2 linked regions of the Canis lupus familiaris genome follow. The protein of the gene in region 1 interacts with the protein of each later gene in a pairwise test. Links are inferred from orthologs where the notes say so. Each region holds a gene or a part of one and is shown on either strand. Other genes may lie near its edges.

Region 1 (3,100 bases):
CCAGGATCACACCCTGGGCCCGAAGGCAGTGCTAAACTACTGAGCCACCCGGGCTTCCCAATAGCCTTTACTCCTTAAAGGAGTTTGCCTACATGTATCTTTTACTGGGTCTCGTTCCCTTTTTCTTTTCTTTTCTTTTTTTTTTTTTTTTTTTTGGTATGCTGTGCATCGATGCCTGTTAGGCTTATCTCCTATCTTATCAGAAGCTTTTAGTAAGCTGTCTCAAATTTGGATGGCACAAGTGAAGGAGCTCAGTTAAGCAGATTTGTGTCACACAGTACTTCTGTCATTTATGGTTTTCTTAGATTGGAGCAAATTGCCCATCTGTTAAAGAGGAGTCCTCATTAACTCCAGAGCTTGTGGAAGTGCACATTTTTAAAAATTTTTTTTTTTTAGAGATATTTCTTTAGGGCAAGCAGGGGTCAGGGCAGGTAGCGAGAGAATCTTGCAGACTCCTTACTGAGCATTCAACCTAACTCAGGGCTTGGTCTCATGAGATATTAAGGTCACCACCTGAGCTGAAACCAAGAGTCAGGTGCCCAACCTACAGAGCTGCCCAGGTGCCCCTTGTGGTGGAGGTGTTTGAAATTCCTTTAACAAATGTCATCTCAACCAATGCCCAAATTCAACTTGTTTAAGTGGACTCATGTTTAAGGGAAGGTGAATAATGATTTTCACTTCTTTCTGAGGAACACAGAAGAAATGGATTGTAGGGGAAAGCATTTTCTAAATCAAAAGAGAAGTTTTAATACCTGCTTCACACCTTAGTATATTATTAAACCTTTGATTCCTTCTTCACTAACAAGCATTTTGGAATCCATATATAAAGGTATTTTCATTGAATGTGTATAGTCATTTTTCCTATTGTTCTCCCGCAGGACCTGATTGATGAGTGGATAGCCAAAGAGGCCAAAAGATCTAACTCCAATAAAACCATGGATCCAAGCTGTTTAAAATGGACCCCTCCCAAGGGCACTTAAAGTGACCTGTTACTCTGAGCCAGCGAACCCCAGCAGTAGGAATCCGTACCCTAGGGATCTGTCTGTCATTTCTGTTGCTCTTGTGATTGGCAAGTACAGTATCCTTTGGGAAGGCCATCCCCCTCAGGACTGTCCTGGCTCCGACCCTCGTGTACACTGCAGACGCTGGTTCTGAGGAACTGTTGTTTCGGCCTCAGTGAGGTTGCCTGGATGGGATCGCTGTTTAGACTTGAGTGCAGATCCCTCGTAGCACTGACCCAAGGTGTTCTGTTTGGTACTGTACCTGTCCAGTCACTGGTTCTCCTCATGTCCTCTAGCCCCATGAGGTTGTGTTGTGTCTTCTAAACTTTGTACTAGTGCTTCTTGCTGCCCGGATACCAGACTTCAAACCATGGTTGCCACCACCAGGACCTTTCCAATTACTCCTTACATGCGGTTTTTTTGGAAGAGCAGGGAAGAGGTAACATTTCTGAGTGTGTGTACTAGGAGGGGTCCATTCCCTTTGGATTTTATCTCACTTGAAATTTTTTCTGCCATTTTTATTGAAAGGCCGGTTTTTGATCCGTGTCAAGCTGACAAGAGACCAATATTTTTTAAAACTCTCCCATGGATTCGTCTTGGTAACTGCACATAACTTAATCAGAATGAAATGGAGAGAATTGACAGGTGGTGATTCTGTAATTTGATTTGAGTTCACCTGTGGGCATCGTGTGTCAGTGGAAGGAAACCAGTCCTCATTGCCTCACCAGAAAGTGCCCAGCCCTAAATGTTTTCCTCTCTCGTAAGCCCTTGCTCCTTTTTACATTGGCAGGGGCTAAACAGTGTCCGGTTCTCCCTTTCATGCTGCATGCTAACCAGTTCATCAGACTGCAGAACCTACCCCCCGCCCCCCACTGTACCTGCCAGTCTCATCTGGCACACCTGTATTTTTGCATTGATTTTTTTTTTTTTTTTTTTTTTTTTGCCTAAACCTCCTTGGAGAAGTAGGAAATGAGTGCACATGACTTCCAGATCTCCTCTAAGCCCATGACTCAGCAAGGCAGAGTGCCACCCCCTCCCAGTGTTTGCTTCTCTGACAGTGCCTCGCCCTCCCTCTTGAACTGAAGTGCTCCTGCCCTTCCAAGAACTCCTCCTCCATTTCCTTTTTGGGATTTGCCACCATTCCCCCTGTTCTCTGCTCTATTTTTGGTTTCAAGCAAAGGAAGAAATGCTCCCTCTAATTTCTCTCCAGCCCATTATAACCTGCTATCTTGGGGCAGCTTTTGATGTATGACATGCCACCCTTCCCAACTTGGTCTCCTCCAACACTGCTGTCTTCGTGTGGAGCCCTTCCCACAATCCCGACTCTGGTCATTTGTGCCTTTCTCTTGTCATCTGTGTACACTACTTATACTCCCTGTGGGTTGGGGGGAGCTAATTTTAAGCATGTTCAGTGGCAGCTCCCTGCCAGTTTCAGTGTCACTGTTAAAGTTTATCCAAAAGCAACTTCACTGGGGGTTTTCTTAAGGGGTAAAGGTCTTTTACCGAAGCTAACCCTTCCCCACATGTGGTAGAATGTGCTGTTCTATATCTACTCCTCAATAAAGCATGTTCTCTGCTCAAGCCTGTTTCATTCAGGAACTCTTCTTTGTGTCTGAAAAGGGTGCAGCTGACCTGCTACTAATAGTGAGTACACCTGGGGTTTACTTTCCTCAGCAGTGAGCTGGTTGTTAAGGGATGTGGTTTGTGGCTGTGGAGGGTTTTTTTTTTTTTTTTTTTTTTTTCTGTGATGCAGGCTATCTATAGAGGGAGTGATTATTATGAACTTGTCTAGTTGGTAGGACAAATTCTGCCTCTCTTGGTTGTGACTAATAGATATGCATAACAATGACTAGTAAATATTCCTTACTTTTTTAAAACCTGTATGCCCAACATGGGGCTTAAAGTCACAACCCTAGGATCAAGAGTCCTGTGCTCTTCCCACTGAACTCAACCCCATGCCTCAGTGTTAATTCATCCCTAAGTTCATTTTCTTGTGATTTCAAGGGCAAAGGTACCAGCAGAAAGGATCTGAAAGCCCTTGCATTAACCTGTAACATTTACCCAGTGCAGGAAAAGGGAGGCTGACACTTTCCTGTATG
Region 2 (3,518 bases), on another chromosome or scaffold:
GACATTGGCCGGCACCGAGTATTTAATCTTCCTCCACCTCACCCCTGGCCCCCCACGGCCCCCCACGGCCCTTTGTGGAAGAGGAATGCATTGCTGGCAGAGAGCCGGCCCTTGGGGGTTCCCATGCACAATCTATTACGCTGAGCCCTCAAGGTTGGAGCTCTTTGGGAATCAGCACTCCCAGTCTTCGCCAGAACACAAATTACTCAGAGATACACCCCAGAGGCTCCCTGCAAGATGTCAGGCCCCCAGATTCCCTAAAAGAGGCCACATGCTCATGACCCCTGAATTCTGTTCCCCGACAACACCAGACACATAAACTGTGAAGACAGGGGAACAAGTGTGGTGCTTTATGACGAGGCACTACGGGCCTTAGTTCTTCAACCTTTTTATTTTAACTCTGCCCTTTTCCTGGAGGCTCTGTTACCTACTATTACATGATAATAACATGGGGTTTCAACAAATGAGTTAGGCATAAATAGAGAGCAAAAGTTCTGACAGCTCACGAGACAGAGGATGTGGGTGACCCCACTGACAATGTCAGGTGTCCTTGCAGCTCATTTTGCGAGGAGCTCGTGGAGACCCAAGTGCCTGAGCACCCCCAGAGCACCAGGTGTTCCCAGCACCATGCCCAGCGGTCAGCTTAGGATGCGAATTCAGACATAGCTCAGGTGTTCTCTATGTGGGTCTGGGGCTGGGCAAGTGAAGGGAGATGACACAGCCCTTAACAATTTGCTATGAAAAAAATCAACAGAGTGAGGGCCGTGTGGCCGAGAGAAGTCACGATAAGCACTTCAAGAAAGAAAGCAGCCCCTGCTGCCCTGTAACCTGGAGCTGCGGCCTGGTTCTGGCCGAGCAGACCCAGGTGAACGGGCGCCGGTGGGAGAGCTCCAGCTGGAGCACGGACGGCACGGCCGTCATCATCCACACAGCCCTTCTACCAAAACTCCCAGGCAGCAGACAGACCCCTCCTTCTGTGAAGTGACTGGTGGAACCTCTGTGGTCAGATGGGGGAATGGTGGGAGACAAAGGTGAAGGGCAAGGGCCCTGGAAAGGGAGATCAGTGATGACATAAAGCCCGGGGCACCTTCTGGTGCCACAGCCCAAGGTCTTCTGGACAACAGCCATCCCAGGTACAGGTCCCTAGCTCTGCTACTCCCTGGGCTAGGAGTCCGTAGTCTTGACAAGAGTCCCACCTCCTCCAGGGACAAAGGGAGGTTAACAATCATCTCCCTTTGGCCAGGCTATCCACCTCATCTGGGAATGTGATACCATCCAGTGTGCTGGCCCTACGCCAACACGTCCAACTGAGGACAGTCAGGACTGCCGCTGTCGGAAGTCATGAGACTCCACTAAAGATGCTGTGGGGGTCCCCTTAAGGGACTGAGCAAGTTGGACTCAGCACACAGAAAGCCTCACTTGGTTCCCATGTTGGCTCTCTTAGGTAAAAACTTTATTCTTTTTTAAAAAAAAGACTTTATTTTATTTTATCTGAGAGAGAGAGAGAGGGATGCCTGGGTGGGTCAGCGGTTGAGCGTCTGTCTTCGGCTCAGGGTGTGATCCCGGGGTCCTGGGATGGAATTCTGCATCGGGTTCCCTGCAGGGAGCCTGCTTCTTCCTCTGCTGGTGTCTCTGCCTCTCTCTCTCTGTGTCTCTCATGAATAAATAAAATCTTTTAAAAAAACAAGAGAGAGAGAGAGAGAGAACAGGGGAGGGGCAATGGGAGAGGGAGAGAAACTCAAGCAGACTCTGTGCTAAGGGCAGAGCCCAACGCAGGGCTCAATCTCATGATCCTGAGATCATGGCCTGAACCGAAATCAAGAGTCTTAATCGAGTGAGCCACCAAGGTGTCCCCCCCCTTTTTCCTGTTTTATTAAGTAAACAGGTTTAGGACAATATGGGAGCTCTAAGAGGCTGACTCTGCCATGATATATGGTCAGTAGAGGCGGTTAGGTGGCTGGGAGCCACACAGTCCCAGTGGCCCCCTGACAGGCCCCCCACCAGCAGTGAGCATGGAGCTGCATGGGGAGCCGCATGCAGCATGTGAACCTGCATAGTGCTCACCCTACACAACTGCCAGGAGAGGTGGCTACCAGCCAAACCCACCCTGTCCTGGAAGGACCATGGAAACCTGAAAGACAGCTGTGTCATCTGGACCCCACCCTCCAATTCTGGTCTCTAAAAGCAGCCAATAACACTTACACAGAGGGTATTGGGGCCTGCTGGAGTTTGTCCTGAACCTCAGAGGCTGAAGAACTGAGGAGCGTGAAGCCCCGGTCTTTCTCAAGTAATTCCTTCAGCGTCAGTTCTGTGCACAGTGGGGTGGAGTGGGCCCTCCAGGGTGCCCCAGCCCCTTTCACACTATGCAGGCAGTAAATACCAGCTTTGTCTGCAAGAGCCCACATGAGGCCTCTGTGAGCATCAGGAGTCCCTGACACATTTTAGACATTTGTCCTCCCTCTCTGACCTGTCACAGACCCAAGACCAGACCTGATGATCTGAGCGAGGCTGGGAGACCACCGCCCTGCTCACTCACAGCCCTCCCTTCCCTAGATGACTACATCTGACCCATGCTGAACGCTCACCCTAGGGAATCTCTGGATCCTCTCCTGCGACCCAAGACCCACTAGGACATGCCTCTCCTGAGGTCACTACAAGGTCATCCTAACCTTCCCATTCTACCCAAATGGCAGAACCTCACCCTCTTGTACCTCCCTTGGGGCTCTGGGTATTATCCCTGACTTGGGGTTACAGGCCATTCTCCCATGGGTGGTGGGCTGAAGGGCATGTGATCCTTTGGAAGCCTGACATGCCATGCCTAGGCCAGGGGGGAAGCTTGGGCTGTGAGGGCAGACAGACCCCCATGGCCACCGGCCTCTGGTCCCCCAGAGTGGGAGCGCACAATCTGTCACCTCCCAGGACTGGGCTCCTACCTGCTGGGCCGTGTCCAGGGAGCAGCTGTTCCTCTGGCTGTGCATGGGGCCGGCCATGCCAACTTGAGGGCAGCTGTGCCCGCAGGCCTTCCAGTGCAGCCAGCAGCTCGTCGTTGCGGTCCTGCAGGTCCTGCAGAGTAGAGCCAGACACCCCTGCAGCCACTGCGGCCACCTGAGGAGCCATGGGGAGCAGAGCAGTGGAGCCAACCCCCCAAGTGGGCAGCCAGGTGTCAGGTCCTGCCTTCCAGCATACCACACTCAACCTGCATTCTAGTTTCCTAATGACCCATGAACCAAACCAAAGCAATGCTCTTGACTTGCTAATGCCCTGTGCCACTTTCAACCACCCGATATACGGAAGGGGCGGTCTCTCTCTCTCTCTCTCTCTTTCTCCCCCCTCTCTCACACACACACACATGCACACAGAGTGGAGTAGAAACTGAGAAGAAACATAGAGAATACAGAGAACCATCAACATCTGAAACCCCAGGTGCTCTGTGTAAGAGCACAGTGGTGCTGTGCCGTGGGTGTGATGCAGCAAGTCTTGGGATGTGTCCCGGGATTCTGTCCTCTGCACAGGGTTTT

What was found.
Region 2: the proteins of KAT7 (region 1) and NINL interact in a two-hybrid assay, tested with the Homo sapiens proteins (2 studies listed by BioGRID and IntAct). The two-hybrid records come from large-scale screens. The link is inferred for Canis lupus familiaris from reciprocal best matches to the Homo sapiens genes KAT7 and NINL.

What each region holds. Positions count from the first base shown.
Region 1 is NC_049230.1:25,823,761-25,826,860, forward strand, and holds the end of KAT7 (histone acetyltransferase KAT7), read left to right. Parts: intron 1-878; coding exon 879-980; 3' UTR 981-2,582; downstream 2,583-3,100. UniProt on the Homo sapiens protein: Catalytic subunit of histone acetyltransferase HBO1 complexes, which specifically mediate acetylation of histone H3 at 'Lys-14' (H3K14ac), thereby regulating various processes, such as gene transcription, protein ubiquitination, immune regulation, stem cell pluripotent and self-renewal maintenance and embryonic development.
Region 2 is NC_049244.1:1,804,557-1,808,074, forward strand, and holds part of NINL (ninein-like protein), read right to left. Parts: intron 3,064-3,518; coding exon 2,934-3,063; intron 1-2,933. UniProt on the Homo sapiens protein: Involved in the microtubule organization in interphase cells. Overexpression induces the fragmentation of the Golgi, and causes lysosomes to disperse toward the cell periphery; it also interferes with mitotic spindle assembly.